3 linked regions of the Diceros bicornis minor genome follow. The protein of the gene in region 1 interacts with the protein of each later gene in a biochemical or structural test. Links are inferred from orthologs where the notes say so. Each region holds a gene or a part of one and is shown in the gene's direction. Other genes may lie near its edges. The genes, in order: KHDRBS1, FNBP4 and FGR.

The links.
Region 2: the proteins of KHDRBS1 (region 1) and FNBP4 form a complex in vitro, tested with the Homo sapiens proteins (2 studies listed by BioGRID and IntAct, with this or other methods). The link is inferred for Diceros bicornis minor from reciprocal best matches to the Homo sapiens genes KHDRBS1 and FNBP4.
Region 3: of the proteins of KHDRBS1 (region 1) and FGR, one has a biochemical effect on the other in vitro, tested with the Homo sapiens proteins (2 studies listed by BioGRID, with this or other methods). The link is inferred for Diceros bicornis minor from reciprocal best matches to the Homo sapiens genes KHDRBS1 and FGR.

What each region holds. Positions count from the first base shown.
Region 1 is NC_080752.1:46,854,107-46,861,347, forward strand, and holds the start of KHDRBS1 (KH domain-containing, RNA-binding, signal transduction-associated protein 1), read left to right. Parts: upstream 1-2,422; 5' UTR 2,423-2,680; coding exon 2,681-3,062; intron 3,063-7,241. UniProt on the Homo sapiens protein: Recruited and tyrosine phosphorylated by several receptor systems, for example the T-cell, leptin and insulin receptors. Once phosphorylated, functions as an adapter protein in signal transduction cascades by binding to SH2 and SH3 domain-containing proteins.
Region 2 is NC_080770.1:22,740,982-22,748,222, forward strand, and holds the start of FNBP4 (formin-binding protein 4), read left to right. Parts: upstream 1-2,610; 5' UTR 2,611-2,644; coding exon 2,645-2,864; intron 2,865-3,814; coding exon 3,815-3,907; intron 3,908-7,241.
Region 3 is NC_080752.1:43,194,347-43,201,587, reverse strand, and holds the start of FGR (tyrosine-protein kinase Fgr), read left to right. Parts: upstream 1-2,092; 5' UTR 2,093-2,274; intron 2,275-2,372; exon of another isoform or gene 2,373-2,466; intron 2,467-7,241. UniProt on the Homo sapiens protein: Non-receptor tyrosine-protein kinase that transmits signals from cell surface receptors devoid of kinase activity and contributes to the regulation of immune responses, including neutrophil, monocyte, macrophage and mast cell functions, cytoskeleton remodeling in response to extracellular stimuli, phagocytosis, cell adhesion and migration.

The sequences.
Region 1 (7,241 bases):
CCACACCCAACATGAAGCAACCAAAAATCTTCATTAGGCATAACTAAATGGCACAATAATAATGATTACTTCTGCTTATAAGCCCAATTGTGAGGAGGTTTACACTGGTCTTTGTCAATGTTCACAACAATTCTGCAAGGTAGATGTCAGTACGTCCACTATAAAGGCTCAGGTTGTGGTTTTCCCAATGACATACAGCAAGGACAAGGCACTGATGAATTTGAATTTGTCTGCCTCACTCCAAAGTCAGAGTCATTTCACAAGGCCATGCTGTTAATACCTTCAGGTGAACCTGGAGCAGCATACCATGGTCAACACAAAATGAACTCTACACTTTCAAGGTGGGAATTACTCTTCCCTGCCCCCGGGAAGGGCCCCCACAATGGAAAGCTGCTGCATTACTGACTTGGTAAATACATCGCAGCCTCAGCAACCCATCACCTGCCTCAGAGATTACCTTTTGTGTATCTCACCAAGAAGAAGAGCTCAAAGCTCCCCTTGACCCCACCCTCAGAGAAACTAAGCAAAAGGTTTGACAGCCATCTGGAAAGACTGCTGATTTTAGTCTAGATACCCACAGATACCACTACCCAGCTCCTTCTCAGACACTTCTTCATCAAAGTTTTATTAGCCTCAGCTCAAGGTACCTCCATCTGGGCATCTCATTACAGAGCAAGGACACTTCAGCCATTTGTAACACCACCACCCAAGCAGGATTTTCAAGGATAGCAGCAGAAATGAGTTGCAACGGAGCTATAAATCCTCCTTGCCCCCTTTCCCCTCCTCCATGCATTTGCTCTATCCACCCACCTATTTCTTCACAGTCCACAACTGGATTACGACTCCCATTCCTTACCCACGTCTCTGCTCATTTATTCACACTTCCCTTCTGCTGGAACTCATTCTCCCCTGGCCGAAATCTATCTTCCGCTTTGAGCTGCAATCGCACTTAATATTCACTTATCTTTTGGCATTTGTCACATTACATTTTTCATTCCAATTATTCAAAAACATTCTTTTTTTTTTCTCCTACTTGACTATAAACTACCTATGTGATCTTAAACTACAGTACTGCACCACACACTGGAAATACATATGTATAATACATGTGTGATAACTGATGGAGATACTTGTGTTTTGTTCTCATTTCTGTGGATGATTTCTCTCCCCCGTCCCCAAGAAGGTAGCCAGGCCTTAATGTTCTCTAGTTGAAGGCTTCTAAGTTTCAGATCCAAATATCAACAGTTTCCAGGCACCCAGAGGACAATTTCCAGAAATGCTTTTGAAAAGCCTGGGCTTATTAGAGGAACTGATCCAGAAGGAAAAGGGATGGGAGTGAGTGCTTTGAATGGGGGAAGCAAAAATCTGTGGAGGGAAGGAAGGGTTAGAGAAGGCACCAGCTCTCTTGAGCCTTTATGGGACAGTAGAGACGTAAGCTCCTTTTGCATATAGCACTCGAGGGATGAGGAGAATGCTGTGGGAGACTGTCCGCTATATACCTTGGCCTTTAGAGCAGTAGTAAGGGTCTGTCTCTTTGAGCAAGTCTGGAACGATCCATTGTGAAGGCCCAACAAAGGCAGGATTAGCACTCACATCCGTATAAAGAGCCACCCTAATGATGCAACCATCAGGGATTAAGGACCTGGTCTCTACCCCACTTTTTTGCGGAAGAAACACAAGTCAGCAGAAAGCAGTACTATACGTAAAGAGCTAAAATGCTTCATCTTTTAAGACTTCTCTGACCAACAATGGCAAATGTTTTAGAGCCTTTTATACTGGAAACCATAGGATACGACTTCTTGGGTTCCCTGCTTTGGTCTGGTGCCCTTTGCTAGATTTCAGGTCTCCTACCTGAACCTTACCTCTTAGTTCAAGTCCTGCAATAGCCTTCGGTCTTCCCACTGACCCGTCCTTCCTCACTTGCTCCTCCAAGCTTCCTTTCCCCATCTCCACCCCTCATCCCTGCGTCAGACTCTCCCTTAGTCGTCCCCTTTTCACTCCTAGTCTCCCCTGCGCCCTGTCTGTTCCTCTCCTCCTGCCTAGACGGCCTCAATTTTCTCTCCTTCCCAGGCGGGTCTCCTTTCATTTCCATACTTTAGAGACCGCCCCCCTCGCCCGACCCCCCCACCCCCCATCCCCCCATCCCCCCACTGAGCACAGCCCGGCTCGGCGGCTCAGCCGTTGGAGGGGGCGCGGCCCCGCGAGTAACAGGTCTCCCCCCCCACACTCTGCGGGCTCGCGCGCAGACAAAGACATTCCACAGCCCCCGCCCCTCCGCGCACTCGGCCAGAAGGGGGAGGAGACACGTGTCCCGCTAGCGCCGAGTCACGTGGAAAAGAAAACGAACGAAGCCCGCGGCCACCCGCGCACGCGCACAGAGCTCTGGCCTGGCGGGCTCGGAGGAAAAAGGGGAGCGGGGAGGCGACTTCTTCGGGCTCCGCGGCGGTGCGCAAGCGCTGTGGCCCGACCGGGGACTTTGTTCTCCGCGGAGAGACCCAAGGGCGGTGCCGGCGGCTGGCTGCGCACGCGCGCCGCCTCATTTCCGGTGCTCTCTTTCGCTGGGTCGGTCGGGTCGCCTTCGGTCGCCGTCGCTCCCGCTCTCCCACCCCCGCCAACCGCCGCTCGGGCCTCCGCCGCTGCCGCGTCGCTTCCTCGATCCCTCGATCGCACATCCTCCCCAATGCAGCGCCGGGACGACCCCGCCGCGCGCATGAGCCGGTCCTCGGGCCGCAGCGGCTCCATGGACCCCTCCGGTGCCCACCCCTCAGTGCGTCAGGCGCCGTCTCGGCAGCCGCCGCTGCCTCACCGGTCCCGGGGAGGCGGAGGGGGGTCCCGGGGGGGCGCCCGGGCCTCGCCCGCCACGCAGCCGCCACCGCTGCTGCCGCCCTCGGCCACGGGTCCCGACGCGACAGTGGGAGGTCCGGCGCCGACCCCGCTGCTGCCCCCCTCAGCCACTGCCTCGGTCAAGATGGAGCCGGAGAACAAGTACCTCCCCGAACTTATGGCCGAGAAGGACTCGCTGGATCCGTCCTTCACTCACGCCATGCAGTTGCTGACCGCAGGTGAGCCGGCCTCCCGGGTCCCTCTGGGTCGCCAGGCCACCCGGGGGCACGGGTGGCAGCGGCTTTGTTCCGCTCGCATCCCTCCCCCTCGGGACCAAGGCAGGCGTGAACTCCCCTTCTTCTCTCATCCTCATTCTGGGGAGCCTGGATTCCACATTCCCGTCCCGGCCCAGGGTGCGAGGGGGAGTTTCTAGGCTGCAGAGGAGGCCCGAAGGGGACTTGGCGATCTCAAAGATCTGGATGGATAGTGCTGAGCTCCCCGCCCCCTTGCCGACCCTTCCCCCTCCCACCTCTCGCAGCTGCCCCGCGCTCCTGGTGCTCAGATGCTTCCAGAAATGAGCCTTTATCACCCCCTTCCCCCCAAAGGGAAAGCTTTTTTGATCTCGGGTGGCGGAAGGCGCCCCGAGTGAGGGTGTAGGAGGTGAAGACAGCCCGAGTGAGGAGGGACGGTGGGTGGGAAAGCCGAGGTGAGGCGAGGTGAGGCTGAAGTGCCCTGTCCAGCGCGCCGCGGTCGCAGGGGCGGGTCGGACTTAGCGGTAATTGACGCTTAAGTTGCTTGGAGGCAGGAGCAACCTGTGGGAATTGGAGCTTGATGTTTTCCGAATCAGATTTCCGACTTAGGCGGATAAAATGATAATTGCTACAGAGCCGGAAGTTTGGATCACTTTATTTTACAACGTGTGTTCATCATTCAAGAAGGGGAAAAATAACCCTAGAGACAGTGAAATCGGATGGTTAGAGGGAGGTAAAGGGTGGTTTGCATTTGTATTTCCGGTGAGGTGGACAGAAATTGAAAGAAGTTGCACGATGCTTCTACCTGAAAGGCTTGGTGTTTTTAGTTTTTTTCTTTTGGCTTCGGGAGTGAAATAGATTAGGAATAGTAGTCTTTGTTCTCTGTCTGTGGGCTAGCGCTCCTTTCCTGCTCAGCACTGGCCAATCACCTAGTCGCTCTGATTTCTCCGTAAAGCCGCCTGTTTTCCTCGCACTTTTAGTTAAAACGTTTTAATAAGTATTTGTTATGATACCTAAATTTTATTAAGCAAGTAAAAATTCACAACTCTCAACACTGAATGAGTAGTTGAACTCTTTGGCAAGGTTGATATAATGGACAGATGGTTATGAAAATATCGTTTCCCTCTCTTTGTTCTCTAGCCCCCAACATTGGTAAAGGGTCTTTACTTTTAAACACAATAAACAAAGCACGCAGTGGTCAAGAATAAGAATATTTAGATAAACTGCTTACATTTTCAACTCAGGGTTTTGCTGTTCTGTAACACAGATTGTTTGAAACATTAGTGTTCATTGTGTTCTTCTGGCAAGCTCTTTGAGGGCAAGGATTGCCTTTTATCTTGGTATTTTTCTTATTGCCTTGAATATAGCAAACACCAGGTGTTTGAATCTGAAAGCAAATACATGCAGATTTAGGAATGTCAGACTAAATGGTAAAGATCGATTCGGTAGTCTAATTTTTATTTCCTCAAATCTTTAATCAGTCCAGATTAAAAGAATGAAAACAGAATAACACACCTTTGAACTTTAAGATGTCAGCTTGGGTTTTGAAATTCTGACCATTAACTAGTTACTTACTCTTAGGAAACTCTGAACCTCAGTAACCTCATCTGTAAAGTGGGATGGTGAGTTGTGAGGATTAAATGATGTTTAAAAGCACCAGCACAGTTCTCTTTGGCCTTTTGACCTATTGTCAATAGATAATAACTTGTCACCACAGTTTTCTTCTAGTTGTAAATCCCTGGTTCTGAAAAAGGTATGAAAACACAAGATATTTTTTGCCTTTCTGACCACATCAAGTGCCCAATGTGGTGTTTGTCTTTTAAGTAAAACATGGTTTCTTAGGATAACCATCAAAAACTATTGATCCTTAAAAGTTACTTATAATTCTCACGCTTCTCTCACTGCTTAACTTCTGTTACGAGAGAGTGCTGTTTAATTTTTTTAACTTGGGCTTTTTTGATGTCTTTTTTTTTAACCAAACTGAAATTTTAATTGGAGAAATGGGATTAAGGTAATGCTGGCTTATTGAGAGAACAGATTTGGAGTGTATGGATACTTCTTAGCATGGATAAGTCATGACATATATTGGACCTAGCTTTTAAGGTATTTTTGAATGATCTGGAGAAGGGGTTGCAGTGGAGTCAACCAACTGTGCGGAAGTGAGACTCTGAGAAGACAGAATAGTGGTATCTAAGCTCTGATAAGGATACATGTAATAACAATATAGCTAACATTTATTGTGCCAGGCACTGGTCTGAGCACTTTACATCAAATATTTAGTCTTCATGACAATACTATGAAGAAGTTATCTTATCCTCACTTTTACGGATGAAGAAACCAAGGCACACAGAGATTAAATAATTTGCCTAAGGTAACAAAATTAGTAAGCAGCATAACTAGGATTTGAAGTCAGTCCAAGTCTGGATCTACACACCTAACCCTCTCCATGCCCACTACAGTACCTGTAACAAATTGAACTTAAAGTATTTTGTACCAGTTGAACAAAATATTAAAAGAAAATCTATTTGAATGCATGAGAGTGCTAGCTAACAGGGCAGTGAAGATGACAAGGCGGAGATACAGAAAAAGGAGGAAACTCAGCGAGCAGAGCCTAGCACTCGGCACTGTGACTTGCCCATTTCCCAAGAGGTGCCGCAAGACCCAGATGACTCTTCCTTTACTAGCCACACAGCTCTCTCTCTCCCTTTCCCAGCTTTACTTTATTTTGCACTTATCGGCATCTGATGCACCATATATTCTAGTTATGTGTGTTTGTTGACTGCCCCTTCTCCTTCATGGCTAGAATGTCCACCAGGGCACCAGGGCAGGGATCTTTTGTCGGCTTTGTTCACTGCTGTATCTCCTGTTCCTTGAAGAGGGCCACACAGAGTGGCCTCTTACTAGATGTTTGATAAATAAATATTCTTCGTTGCATGATGGAAAACTATCAACACAATTCTGAGAGATTTAGATTTTGAATATAGACTTCTATATTAGCCAAGTTGATATTCAACTATGATGACAGTTAAATGAAGTCACAGACGTGCAAGGACTTGGGGTACCCATGCTTGTTTTATGAAACAAAAGTAATTTATTTTTTGTGTTAAATATTTATATAACACACAGAAATGCTTTTATGTATATCAGTGTTCTTTTTCTACTTTCTATAATTAGGAAAATGTAAGTTAGTATAAATGACTCAGGAATAAGTAAACGTTTTGAATAGATTAAGGTAATCTGCAGAAGATCTTGCAAGGATACTCAGAAATCCATCTTCCGAAATCCATCTTCTTTGTAAATGGAGAACATTTACAAAGTTTGTTGAAACTTCAAAATAGTTCATTGCTTTATTTTATTTACAGTATACTGTAAAAATATATCTGAATGTTCCCATTTCATTCTACAGGGCTAGCAAAACCTATTCAAAACCAGAAAGTGGAATTGCAAAGGAATTATAGACCAAATATAGGTATAAGTATTAATATTAGGAAAGGAAGAGGCAGAAGTTATCACTATTTGCAATAACTTCATGGTTGTTGACCTAGGAAAGTGGTCAGTTATGTGGCTAATTACAAGATGAAGATGTGCAAATCAATAGGTTTCTGATATATGAGCAGTAGCCAATTAGAAAAGAATTGACAGAATGATCTCGTTTTTAGAATAGTGTCAAATGCCTTGGCATAAGCAATAAAAATCAGTTCAAAATGTATTGAATAATCATAACAAACAATAACAGTAATAATATTTAACCTTTGTAGAGCATGTAACGTGAGGTGTGCTACTCATTAATTCCATCCTCCTTGGCTATTCTATGCGATAGGAAGAATTTTTATCTCAATAATGCAGATGAGGAATATTGTGATCACATATTATCAATATGTGATAAATAAATTTTTACTGAAGGTGATAAAGGAAGATCTGAATAAAAAGAAAAATATGCCATGTCTTGGGCAGGAGTTGGGAGGTGGGGGAGGAACTAGTGTTATAAAGATGACAGAACTTTTAACTTAACATGTTGAATTTTTGCATTTTCCAAACGGATTCTGACTGGATTTACTTTTTCAGCTTGACATGTTGAATATAAAGTAGCTAAAAGAGTAAATGAAGATAAAAGAAAAAAAATTTTTGGAGACAGGAAAATAATGAAAACCTGCTACATTGACAAAA
Region 2 (7,241 bases), on another chromosome or scaffold:
AATAAATAAAATTATAAAAAAAAAAAAAGTAATAATAGCTACCATATAATGATTGCTCATTTTGTTCCTGGTGCAATGCAAAGAGCTTAAAACTTGATCTAATTTAAACTTCACAACAACCCTGTGAATACTGTTACTAACACATTTTACAGTTGCAGAAACAATTTTAGGGATGCTAAGAAACTTCTCCAAGCAATCATATCTGGAAGGTGTTGGAGCTGGGTTTTGAATCCAGATGTTTGATGCACAGCTGTATCCTAAGCACAGCTACCATATTTCAATGCCGCTCCCTTCAAGAAATAAATCTGAAAATTGCTAATGGCTTCCAAATAGCAAATTGTCCCTCCCCTTCGAGCTGTTAATTTTTCAGAAATCTTAGGAGTCTAATCTCAGGACATAATCCAGGTATTCCTCCCATAGGAAAGACAAGGAAAGAACTCTTGCTACTTATTTCAAGTTTGTATATATTCATACACTATATTCATTTAAAAACTCTGGGTGATACTGAACCACTTATTCTCAAGTTCTTGTGCCCAATGTGCAGTAGACCAATCACTGAGCCGTTGGTGGTTGGAGATGGAAAAAGGCTTTATTGGAACTGGCCAAAACAGGAAGGCGGGAGGATGGGTTCTCTCAAATCCACCTTAACAAGAGAAGAAAGCAGGGGGGTGGTTTGTAGAGCTAAGGGGCTTGGCACAAGGAGTTCCAGAGAAACACCTTTCACTCCAGAGAAGCCCTTGGGCAATCTGACTTCTGGCCATCAAAGGCAGCTGGGGGCTGGTCATCTGGGGATCAGCGATCACAACCTCCCCAAAGGCATTCTTTTTCTTCTGCAAAACAAGTGCACAAATCCTCCAGACCCCTAAGTCACCCCTCAGGTTAAACAAGAAAACAGCAATTTGACAAAATTCATCTACGTCTATGTTGGGAAGATGGTCGAAAGGCAATCAAATTCTTTTTTTTTGGTGAGGAGGACTAGTCCTGAGCTAACACCGATGCCAATCCTCCCCTTGTTTTCTTGAGCAAGAGTGGCCCTCAGCCAACATCTGTGCCCATCTTCCTCTACTTCATAGGGGACGCCACCACAGCGTGGCTTACCAAGCAGTGCGTGGGTATGCGCCTGAGATCCGAACCTGCGAACGCCGGGCCGCCACAGCAGAGCGCGCACACTTAACCCCTTGCGCCACCGGGCTGGCCCTGGCAATCATGTTCTTGTTGAGTATCTACAGTGACCCTCAGGTACCCAGCTTCAAGTGCTTATGTTTCAGAAAATGCATTTGATATACAGGGAACAAAGCAGACAAGTCTCTGCTTTCACGGCTTTTGTATCCAACAACCAATTTGAGGGCTCATCTATAAATTAGGGATAATATCTATCTTACAAGGTTGTTGTAAGAATCAAATGCAATTTTACATGTAAAGCGTTAAGACAGTGCCTGACACACAGTAAGTGCTCAATAAATGTTAGACATTATTAGTATGCTCTAGTAAGAACTGAATTAGACACTGGGGATATAAATACACTGAATTTCTTCCTCTTCCTTTTTTTTTTTCAAGTATAGTTGACATACAGCATCATATTAGTTTCAAGTGTACAATATAGTGATTTCACATTTATTTACATTATAAAATGATCACCCTGATAAGACTAATAACCATCCGTCATCACAACAAGTTATTACAATATTGTTGACTCCCACTGGATTTTTTCTTAAGCTCAAGGGCTGGGGTGGGGCTTGGCATTGAGATATTAGGTTCAGAAAGTAATGACTGCACCGGGTCTTGAGGAATGAGAATTATTTCGCCACGTGATGCAGTAGTTATTTCAGCTAATGTGAAGGACTGAAGACGGGAGATGATGCTCCACGTGGCCGGCTCCAGAGGTGAGATGAGGGGAGCAGGGCAGGGGAGACTGCTAAAAGAAGATAAATCTAATAAAGCAGGCTGGGGATACCAGAGGGCCAGATCGGGAAGGCTCTTGTATCCCCTCGCAACAACTTAGGCTTTTTCCTCATATGCAGTATAATGTCTAGTGATTTTTTTCCAGCTGATAAGCAGCATAATACGAGACATCATCTTTGTGCTCTAAGAAAAAATCTGCAAACGCATAAAAGACCCACTATTCTATTTAATATACAGTGTTATACCCAAAGTAAGGCACAATAACCAGGGCGAAGCTTGCGGAAGAGCCGGGAAAGCAGCGCAGCAACCAAGAAGCCAAACAACAATGAAGAGTTAGCCGAGAACAGACACAAGATGGACGACAAGGAGATAAAGAGAAGACTCCGCAAAAAACGCATGGGTGGAGCCCGAGGTAACGAGGGGCCATTCTATACTGAGGCCCTTCCGCACTACTGGCTTGCGTCTCATTCTTTTTCCTATTCCATTGGCTACTGGCTCCTTCCATGGGTCAAAATAGCCAATCGCCTAGCGCCGTAGGTAAAGCCCGCCCTTCTCCTTCGGGGGGAGGAGCCAGAAGAGCGTAGGGGGCTCAAGGCGCTTGCGCGGACGCGCGCTCGGCCGGTCAAAAGCGGATGGTCGCTGGAGGCGGTGTTGCGGCGCATGAATATTGATTACGCAGCGCCGTGCCGAGCGCCCGCCCCTCTCGGCTGCCCGACGCTCGCGGCTCGCGCTCGGGCTCGCGATGGGGAAGAAGTCCCGGGCGGTACCCGGCCGCAGGCCCATCCTGCAGCTCTCTCCGCCGGGTCCCCGGAGCAGCACGCCGGGCCGGGACCCGGAGCCGGAACCCGACACCGAGCCGGACTCGACGGCGGCGGCGTCCAGCCAGCCAGCCCCGGCGGCGCCGGCGACCACGACGACCGCGGTGACTGCCGCCGCGGCCCCAGACGACTCGCCTTCAGAAGGTGAGGGTGTGCCAGAGGCCCCGGCCGCTAGTGGGGCGGCCGAAACTCGAACTCGGGGCTTGCGGCCTAGGCCTCGCGGGCCGGCCCTGGGAGGAAGAGAAGCCCGGGCGGGGCGGCGTCCGCGCCCGTGGCCTGCTGCGCGGGGCCTGCGGGACGACGGCTGTGGGCCCCAGGGCGGCGGAAGGGGCCGCGGAGCCGTGTGCGCCGCCGCGAGCGACCCTGAGGTGCCGCCATCTCTGCTGCAGGAGTTGCCCGAGTCTCCTGGTCTCCTTTGCGTCCGCGCGCGCCTTGGGGTAACTTAGGGGTGCGTGTGACGGGCTGAGCTTCCGCGTCCGAGGCTTGGTGACAGAGGACCCTGGCCCTTTCTACACGTCACCTGCTCTTCCTTTCGTTTTTGTCGAAACTGAAAGAGACCCTTTAGAAATGAGTGGACTCTTGATTATGCCAGCCAGAGCATAAGGAGCCCCAAATGGGCAGGTGTCCCCGAGATTCCTGGAGAAGTGGAGCTCGTGGGGTCCCGAGTCCTTGTGTGTTTCTCCGCGGAATGGTCCTTGCGTTAAGAGTAACTATTCATCGCTGCGACCATTTCTGATAAAAAAAACAAACCACGTTGGGTAGCTGTTGCGGGGAAAAATGCTCCAGCCCTGCCTGTTGTCAAGGCCCGATGGCAGCCTGGAGCTTTCGTGTGTGTATTTTTTTTTTTTTTTGAATTATTTCAGATGGAATTTTTATATGCGCTGTTCAGGTTCTTAAAGTCCCTAACGAAATGGAAGATTCCAGCTACTTGTTTATCATTTCCCAATTATTTGGGTCACTGATGGATTATACACCCTGTTTTTCAATCGATGGCATCTAAACTTGAAAGGTCAAATCAAGGATTGTTTTGTCACCTGTAGTGTTGTCTCGGGTCCATCGTCTGACGGTAGTTTTTTTCTGTTCGTTAAATCCAGATGAACAGGAGGTGGTGGTGGAGATTCCCAGAGTTGTTCAGAATCCTCCAAAACCAGTCATGACCACCAGACCCACAGCCGTCAAAGCAACAGGTATAGCTTGTTTTGTTTTTTGCATCTTTTCTCCAATATTTAGGTTTGTATATAGAGTGCTTTTGTCGAATGCTTCAGTGTTGCTGATTCATATTTGGAATATAAATAAATTTCGTTATATTTTATTTATTTATTTTTTAATAATTTTATTTATTTATTTTTCCCCCCAAAGCCCCAGTAGATAGTTGTGTGTCATAGCTGCACATCCTTCTAGTTGCTGCATGTGGGACGCGGCCTCAGCATGGCTGGAGAAGCGGTGCGTCGGTGCGCGCCCGGGATCCGAACCCCAGGCCGCCAGCAGCGGAGCGCGCACACTTAACCGCTAAGCCACGGGGCCGGCCCATTTGTTATATTTTAAATGGAGATTTAAAATCTTTCTGTTTGTGAGGGCTTGTTAGTACACACACTTTGACCAGTGTAAAATTTGTGGTTGCTTTTTCTCTGTACCCAGTGCACTTTGTACTGTCTTTTCTTGTAATGCTATTTTATAACTAGTTTTCTGGCTCCTCAGCTAGCTTGCTTTCTTTAGGGACACGAGCGATGTCTTCTTATTCCATTTCTTTTCTAACACACTGCTTTGATTATTACTTGGCAAATGTTTGTGGAGCAGAATATTGCTCTTATTAAATATTTTTTTAAGCATGGAGGAATATTGTCAGTAGTGGTGTTATAGACAAAGCTGGCTTCAAATCACCACTCTAGCATTCACTCTTAAGACCTCGGGACTTCATTCATCTGTAAAATGGGTTTTACAGCCCTACGTTATTTTGAAGATTAAATTGAATAGTGTATGCAACGTTCTGACACAGCGAGTCCAAGAATGTTAGTTTTCTCTACTCTTTAAAGATTTTGAAAGATTAAAATATGTTTTGATACAAATATTCTGTAATTGGTAGTGATTTTATTCTATTTAGTTTGGAGTACTTTTATACTACATGACACCTGAAATAGTAAATGCTTGTTCTCCCCTCCTTCAATTTGCTGCTTAAAAAAACAAAACAGAGGGGCCGGACCGGTGGCGCAAGCGGTTAAGCGCGCGCGCTCCGCTGCGGCGGCCCGGGGTTCGCTGGTTCGGATCCCGGGCGCGCACCGACGCACTGCTTGGTAAGCCATGCTGTGGCGGCGTCCCATATAAAGTGGAGGAAGATAGGCACAGATGTTAGCCCAGGGCCGTCTTCCTCAGCAAAAAAAGAGGAGGATTGGCGGATGTTAGCTCAGGGCTGATCTCCTCACAAAAAAAAAAAAAAAAAAAAAAAACCAGAACAAAAACACCAGTGTGGGTTAGAAAAGCTAAAACTTGGTTGTGAGAGAAATTTCAGAATGAGAAAATACCGTTTTCTATTTGTAAACGACATATATTATTTCATTAAACTCTTCTAAGAATCCTGTAAGATGGGTAGAATTTAAATGTTCCTTGGAGAAATTTCCATGATTGCCATGTCGTTGAGTGCTTCAGGCCTTTATGTGCCTTGTGAACAGAATGTTTTTATTCTGTTTAACTTCATCCTGCAACAGAACAATGTATTGGCTTTATTCAGTTCTTACCTGCCACTTGGTATAATAGATAAGAAAACGTGTCAAATAAAAATCAAAGGGAAACAATTTTCCATTATTTGCATATTTGGGTAACTGTTAGAGTAGATACTCTAGAATTGACTGTTTTTTTCTTTTCTTCTTTCTTTTTTGGTGAGGAAGATTGGCCCTGAGTTAACATCTGTTGCCAGTCTTCCTCTTTTTGCTTGAGAAAGATTGTCCCTGAGCTAACATTTGTGCCAGTCTTCTTCTATTTTTTGTATGTGAGATGCCGCCACAACATGGCTTGACGAGCGGGGCATAGATCCACACCTGGGATCTGAACCCGCAAACCCTGGGCCGCCAAAGCAGAGGGCGTGAACTTAACCATTACACCACTAGGCTGGCCCTTATTTTTTTAAGATGATTTTAGTTAAAGGATTTTATCTTCATCACTAGAAACATGCCAGATTTCTTTCCACAAAAATGAAATAAAAGTCTTAAGTTGTTAAAGTATGCTTTTATAAATATGGTAGAGCAAGCATATTATTATGGTGAAAAATATTATGGTGTATGCATGTGAAATTATTTCAGGAAAAATTCAGAGTAAGCTATTAAATTAGGTCAATAGACGACTATGATAGTCAACAGTATTTAAGCATCTTCTAGAAAAGGGTACTTAGCTTTCCACAGATGGGTGTCAGAGGTCTCTGAATCTCCTGCAATGGCACACTAAAGTATGTTTTCCTGGGAGAGGGTCCATAGCTTTTATCTTATTGAATGTTAATTGTTTCTATGATCAAGTAACCGAAAAGATTAAAAACCACTATTCAAACAATGTTATGAGGAAATGATAGAGTTACTAGAAGTATAAGACAGTTACTGTTACTGTTGGAAGCTGATTAGGAAAGTAAGGTACATACCTAAGAAATAATTTACTGCCTAATATAATTAGTTGATTTGCAAATTGTATGGCACCATCTTTTAAGGTAAGCAAACTGAGGTTTGAGGAGTTGGCACCCCTCAAAAAAAGACTGCTAAGGACTGTGGCTCTGAAGAGTGGTCTTGCTTCCTCTGGTTTCAAGAAGCAGCATCATCTCAGTAGTAGTCTAGGGTATGGTCCTGTGAAGCTTTTGTTTATTTTTCTAAGATTAAGCAATTTTACGTAATATTGTGAACATTTATTTTCAGTGTTATTCTGAATTCATGCCTGTCCCTTATCAATGTATGGACTAAATTTTCAGAGGTGTAATTAGAATTTATATGCGTTTCATGACTTGCTTTTAATCTTTAAGATTACTTTTTTGTCTCCTTAGCTTATTTCCTATAATCCTATAATGGTCTGACTAATCATAAAATAATACTGCATCACGTACTGTGCTGTAATTTGCTTTGTCCGTTATTTGAGAGCATTTGAGTTGTTTACAGCTTTCAGTTATTTAAATAAGGCTACTAGAAGTTTTGTGCAAAACAAATTTTTTTGAATTATTCTTGGGGTTATATTCCTAAAGATGGGATTACCTAGCTAAGAGAAACTTGAAGAGTTTTGTTAAGAAATACTGAATCTGTAGTGTCTCTAACAATATTAAGTATGACTGTTTCCCCCAAATATTTAATCATTTTCATTTACTTTGCTATTTAATAGTCATTATGTTATTAGGAGCTTGGAAGAAGTTTGATGTGTGTAATTTGAAAAGCTCTGAGGGGAAGAAAAAAGGAAACAGGTGGAGCTTTGGCTAAATAAACCTGGTGCCTGTGAGACGCACTCTGAGCCTGGGGAATTACCCCTGCTTGGGGAATTTTGTCAACATTCCATGCAGCT
Region 3 (7,241 bases), about 3.7 Mb from region 1:
GAGACCAAGATTGAGGGGACTTCCTTTGATGGGGTTGTCAGGGAAGGCTTCTCTGAGGAGGCAGCACTTTAGGTAAAAGAAGAAAGGAGCCAGTACTGTGAAGAGTAATGAGAAGAGCATCATAGGAAGAGAGAAGAGTGCGTGAGAAGACTATGAGACAAAAACTCAGTGTCTTCTAGGAACTGAAAAAGATTCCAGTGCAGGTGAAGAGGAAGATAGCCCCAGATAGGACTGGAGAGGTGGGCAGGGGCCAGGCACACAAGGCCTGGGATGCCATGACAAGGCATTTGGATTTTATTCTTCCCTATTATTATCTTATTTTATTTATTTTTATTATTCCAAGTGAAATGGGAGGTGAGCCAATAGACAGTTTTAAGCAAGGAATTTATGTGGTCCAATTTGTATTTTAAAAGCAGAAGCAGTGTTGTTCTTTCATTCATTTGCTTATTCAGTCATTGATTCTTGAATGTCTTCATTCATTCTTTAATTCTTACCTTCAATTATTTATTTTTTCATTGGGCTTTCATCTGTTCACCTGTTAATTCCTTTGTTCCTTGATGGATTCATGCATTCCTATGCCCAGAGAACCAGCTTCTCTGTGCCAGACACTGTGTGGGCACTGGGGGCATTGACAAGAACCAGACCTAGTTCTTGCCATTGAGGAAAATGTATCTCACACGCCCACACCCCAGGAACCAGGAAGAAGGTGCTGAGTGCTCTGCTGGGGATGGCGGTGCCAATCAGGGAAGGCTTCCTGAAGAGCCAGACCTTGAAGGATGACAGAAAGAAACTGATAGATTGAGGGGTCCCCCAGGGGCAGGCACCAGTCTCTTTCATATCTGTGTTCCCTAAGCCTGGCGCCTGACTGGCAGTGACAAATGTTTGTTTGTCAGTTGAACATGCAGACCAACGGCCGCTCAAGGGCTGCCTGATGGTGGAGGTGCTGGTGCCCAGCCAGAGGGAGACCACACTTCCCAAGTCCTTGCTCCTCCGCCTCACCCCCTGTGTCTTCCTCCCCATCCCTCCTCCCATTTTTCTAAGCGAAAAGCGTTCTTATCTGCATCCCACCGTTCTCTGCCATCCCACAATCACATTGGGACACACCTGAGCACACACACAGGCATTCACACACATCCCTGCTCATACATAGAAACACTTGAGCCTGCACAATGTGTCCCAGTTGTTGATTCCAAAATTGCAGTCATCGAGTTCATTGCCTACAATCACACACACACACACACGTCTGTGCTTACACACTCTCCATGCCTCCCTGCCGTATTCCAACACACATACTTCTCCACCAAACAGCCCTTGCACACGCATCTCTTCCTCCCCAGACAGGAGGAATTTTCCTGGTCCTTGGTTTAAGGCAGAAGCAGTAACAATGGCGGGAGGGGGTGTTGAATGCCAGGTTGAGGGGGGTCAGGGATCCCTGCTAGTTGGAAAGGCTGGAACTGTGATAGAGGATGATACTCAGTTTTTCTAAAACTTGGGTGTGTGTGGGAGGCTGACACCCTCCCCCTCCTTCAGTGTGGCCTGAGGGCTGATTCCTCTGAAAAGCAGTTTCCTAAGAGAGGGGTCTCCTGCTGCTCCCCACTGTCCATCATGCCCTGTCCCCAGTGCCCAGCCCCTGCGGATGGCAAGGCTTGGTGACTGGATCTGCAGTGGCTCTGGTGACAAGAGTCTGGGGTCAACCAACTGTGAGAACTTGGGTAAGGCTTGTCCCCATCTGGTCCTCAGTTTTCCCAGCTGCAAAAGGGGGGAGTGGGCTTCAGCAATAAAGAAAAGCCCCTCTTAACCTCAAATGCAATGATTCTAAATGAGAAGGTGCTTTTGAGAGTGAGGAACTTGCCCCCTTGTTGGGGGCCTTTGAGAAGGCTGTGCTGGGGGTTGAGGTCTGGGGGGTGGAGCTGGGGTGCAGGGAGAGGGCTGGGAGAGCCGACCCCCAGTAACCCGGGGGAGGCGGGAAGTGGGGGCGGGAGGGCCTGGAATTTGAGGGCCCCTCCCCGCCGCAGGCAGCTGGCTTGGGGCTGGGGCGTGACTGCGAGTTCTCCCCACCGCCGCCGCCGCCGCCGCCGCCGCCGCCGCCACCGCCGCTACTGCGGCTGCAATAAGAGAAGTCCAAGGCGGCTTCCTCCTCCCTGCCCTGAGGGGGCGGCGGTCAGAGGCGGGCAGCACCCCACTTCCCCCCACCCCACGTCGCCACTCGTGGCTGCTGGGAGCCCCGGCTGGCTCGTCCTGGGATCCATCAGGAGCGGCCTGCCCTGGGACCAGGTAGGCGGCCGTCAGGTGGGCTGGAGGAGCCGCGCGGTGCCCCGCCCCCGGCCCGCCCGCGGCCCCTGGGGGAGGGCTGGGGGGAGTCAGTCTGAACTTGGCGGGGAGAGCTGAGGGAGTCGAGGGTCAAAGCGGCCTCATCCCTAAAAGGACCTAAGGAGGAAAACTGAGAAGACCTGCAGAGTGAGACTGGTAAAATTTGGGGAGGGGGCTGAGGGAACATGGGGAAAGCAGACTAAAGGGATCCCCCAAAAAGCTCTGGTGGGGAAAACGGAGGGAAACCTGTAGAGTAAGATTGATAGAATTTGGGAAGGGGGCTGAGTCGGGGGAGAGAGACTAAGGGGACCCCCCCCAAAGGGGTTGGAGGAGAAATTGAGGGGACGTTGAAAGTGAGGATTTGGGGAGAAACTGAGGGCTCTGGAAGAGGGTAACTAGGTGGGGGGACTAGGAGGGTCAGGTGAGGAGGTCTCCCAAAGGGAGTCAAGGAGAACCATTTCTGGACGATGCAGAACGTGGGGCGCGATTCTGGGGGTCCTGGAAGTCTCCCTATCCCAAATCGGCAGAAATCAGGGGTGAAGCCAGTAGCGGGGATGCAGCTCCCTAGACCCTCCCGCCCCCTCACTGGTGGGCTGGTCCCGGATGGCGAGGGGACTCCTTCAAGGCGCTAAAGGCATGGTTCCCCGCTTCCTGGGGAAGACCCCGCCCTCAGCAGGGATGGGCCTCTCTGGGTGCCCCCTCTCCGCCCGCGGTGGCGGTCTCGGTCCACGTTCCCCTCGGGATCCGGGAATTGCTGGCCGCCCCGACGGAAATCCTGCCTTTGACCGCGATTGCCGGGAGGGGCTGTCTCCATGGCAACAAGAGGGCGGAGAGGCAGAACCCCGCGCTTGGCTGCAGTTGGGCGCATTGCCGGCGCAACCCATTTGGGTCCCAACCCCGCCCCCATTTGCGGTCCTTTGTTGGGGGCGGCTGCCCCACAGAAAAATAAGGCGATGATGCTCAGTGTTCAGGGATCCTGGGGTGGGGAATATGCAATCTCAGGGACTTAGCCAGACTGGCGCCTTGATTGCTGTGTGAGTTTAGGCAAGTATGGGGCTTCTCTGGGCCTCATTTTCCCCATTTGAATCATGGGGGGAAATGATCTCTGCCCCTGCCCAGCCCCCACGCCCCACCCCATCCCTAGTCAGGAGAATCAGGCAGAAAGCAGTTTTTGCCGAGTGTCCTGGAGGGGTAAAGTGTTCTCACTGACCAGGGAGCCTCTCCTTCACCTTCCGGAAAGCAGGTAGGGGCACCACAAAGCCTGACAGGACCTCCTGGGACCAGTGCACAGTTGATATCTAATAAATAAATAAATGTTTGTGGATATATTGAGGGCCCATCCTGGGAAAGTCAGCAGGTTTTAGATCTGTCCCCAGCCCCCACGGTGCCACACCCAGTGATCCCTGAGTCTTTTGGCATCCTTCCCTCTGTGGTGGTGGTGGGAGAGCAGAGCTCTGTTCCCACTTCACAGATGGGAAGATGGAGAGTCACTGACAGGGCAGGCAGTAGGGACTTGGAGTCCAGGGCATCTTGTCCGTGATGTGGTGAGGAAGGTAGCCAGAGCTGAGGCCTTAGTTCTCTCCTCATCCCTACCAAACCCCTTGTAGCTCTCTGGGAGGGGAGAGAGTGAGAGAGAAGGTATGGAGTTCATGTCATGGGCTTCATGCTGGCTCCTGCTCCATGGTGGGCATGGAGCTGTGAGTGAGGGTGTGAGTGTTTGTGAGTATGGTTCGGGCTTTGAGTGAAGGAGCATGAGCGTGTGAGCATATGTGTGGGTGTTCAGGTGTTCTCTGCAGCCACCTGGGGCTGATGTAGCAAAGGAAGTGGCCAGACCTTGAGAGGCTTGGTAGGGGGACCCCAGAGCTGGGGAAGAAGGAGACAGAGCCCTTTCTGCACAGAGCAGACCAGGCTGGCCTATGATGGGCCCCGGGGAGGGGGCTTCCTGTCTGGCCACACTGTGGAATCTAGACTCCTGTTCTCTCAGCTCTCCCTGGACCACCCATGGCTCCCATCTCCCAAGAGTCTTGAATCCCTAAAGACCTCTGTTTTAGAGGCTGGTGGGTGAGTTTTCAGCAACAGATGAGAAACCACTTTTACCTATAAGAAGTGGAGAAAATTCAGCTGACACTCCCAGACCATGTGGAAGGTAAAGCCAGTGTGGCATGGATAGGCCACCTCTCCCCCCCTTTCTTCCTCCCCTCTGCCCTCAACACACCTGGCCCCACCAGTGTGGTAGAGTCAGACTGGGGTATGTCTTCTTAGCCCCTGGGTGTTCAGGGGTAGGAGGTTGGAAGGCTTCAAGAAAGGATGGTGTGCGATGATTGGAGGTTCAGTGAGAAGTAGGGGCTTCAGTGAAGGAGATGAGGGCTCAGTAAGGGCACTGGAGTTCAGTGAGGTGCAGAGTCTCTGAGAGTGAGGGATGGAAGCCTTCAGTCAGGAAAGTCAGGTCTTGGTGAGGGATGGGTGCAATTGGGCTGAGACTTGTGCCCTGCCCCTGGCCAGCCCAGAGCCCTGAGGAGAAGCCGGAACTCTTGCAGGATGGTGGTTTCCTGCCACTGCCCAAAGTCCCAGTTCCCTTTTGGTGAAATCCCCCAGGTGGCTGGGCCAGCTCAGCCCTCCCACCTCACCCTGGGAACTTCTCTTTCTTCTCAGCCCTGCCACTCCCCCTCCCTTGGCCTTGGAGGGGCCTTCCTCAAGGGAAAGGAGCAGAACTGAAAGTTCACTGAGCACCTACTCTATGCCAGGTGCTTTCAGGGGCTTGACCGCGTTAGATACTCAGAAGCAACCCTATGAGGTAGAGATTTATATTCTTATTTTCTAGGCAAAGGAACTACAGCTCAGAGAGGTGAACTCATTTGCCCAATGTCTCAAGCTAGTTGTCAGGCCAGGTAGAATTTGAGCCTAAATCTCCAGATCCCACAGATATTTGGCAGGGGTTGCAGGGAACAAGACATCCTGTGTGTACATCAAAGCCCTGACATGGCTTTGGGAAGTGTGGACCTCAAGAAAGGATGGGTGGGCCTGGGGATCCTGTGTCCAGGAGTAGGGGTGTGCAGGAGGCAGGCTACCTGCTGAGTGGCCCGCTGCCATATGGCAGGAGTGGTATGTTCACTTGGTCAGGGACTGAGTAGGAAATATGACGTTCACCAGTCAGGGACAGCATGACCTCCTGCTCAGGCTGTGGGGAACACAGCCACAGTGCCAGGAACAGAACTCTGGACCTGAGTTAATAGTCCTGGCTTTGAGTCCCCTGTCTGGCTATTTGACCTGGAGCAAGCCAGTTCCCCCTATACGCAAGAAGAGGATGGACTGATAAGTGGTCCCTGGGGGCCAGTCTAGCTTTGCTGCTTGTGGTTCTCAGCCTCACTCGGCCACTGCACCCTGGGCAAGAGCCACGTCTCTTCAAATCTTCCCAACAACTGCACAGAAGGTACAGATGCCAAAACTGAGGCTCGGAGGGCTTATGTCATTCATCCAAAGTCCCAGAGCTAATACTATAGAGCTCGGTAGGGCCACACAGAGGGAGAAGTCGAAGGCAGGAGCACCATGGTCCAGCGTTGGACCTCAGCTCTGACACCCACAACCTGATTTTGACCCAGCTGAGGCTCTGGAAGTTGACTCCTATCAGCCGGATGTTTAAGAGGCATAGTCATAAACAGACCTGAGTGCCTACAGTGACAAGGATGCCTGTGGCCACTCTTGGAGCTGCCTCCTTTCTGGCGTTAGCAGGCAGCCAAGTTCAGCACTGAGAAAAAAGACCTGGATTCAGATTTGAGGGCTATGATAATCAGTGGTTGCCTGAGAGAACCTGGGCAGGTCACTTCCCCTCTCTGGGCTGTAATGAGGACTTAGAGCATGTAGCACAGGGCTTGGCACACTGTAGTGCTCATTAAGAGACACACATCTTGCTTCTACCAGGACGACAAAATAGAACAGTGCTTATGGTGGGCTTTGGAGCCAAATTGGTGGGGGTTGCCTTTTAGGTTTCCCTGACTCACTATGTAGTCTTGGGGAAATTACTTAACATCTCTGCGACTCTGTTTCCTTATCTGTAAAATAGGGGTAATCATAAAACTTAGCTCATAGGGTCGCTAAATGAGATCATGTAAGGGAATTGCTTGGCACAATGCCAGGCACTGAGTAGATGCTTAATAAATTAGCATTTTTAAACTAATAGTTACTGCCACCTAGTTTTCTAGGAAGTCAAATTGCTCTCTGAAGAATTACTGGCACTAGTTGTGATCCGAGCTAGGTGAGGAGGAAGAGTCTTGGTGGCTATTTTCAGGCAGGTGCTTGAACAGAGTGGACCCAACCTGCTCCCTCTTTCTGTCTCTTTAGTTCTCGATCTGTCTCTGGCATTCTCTTCATCTCTGCCTGTCTCATTTTCTGTCTCTGTCTCTCTGTTGCTCTGTGTCTCTACTTCCCATGTCTGTCTCTGTCTCTCTCTTTTTGTTTCTTTCTGGCAGCGATGTGCTGGAGCCAGCTAGGACTGGCTCTGGGGAGCTGAGTCTGACAGTCTCTTTCCAGCTCAGCGTTCAGGAAGTCACTTCGGTAACTTGAAATCGGCCATGGTGGGAATACTTACACCACGGAAATCAGCAAATGCTACAGATCAGGGCCTTCTTTTTTCTTTCTTTTAGGAGTCAGTACACCAGCGCATCACAATGTTTCTCTTTGTCTCTATCTCTTCCTTTTGTCTCTCTGTCTTTATGTCTGTCTGTATCTCTCAGTCTCTGTCTGTCTCTGCCTTTTCTTTTTCTGGCTCTCTCCATCTCTTTCTCTCCTCTGACAAAGCCACCTGAGCATGGTCACATTCAGTGTGGCCTCCTCACTGCCTTGGGCTATGCAGATGCCAGACCCTATGCCCTACACCCTTACCTCACATCCTCCACCCCCTCAGCATACTGGTGCCCAGAGAGCTAGGCCTGGCC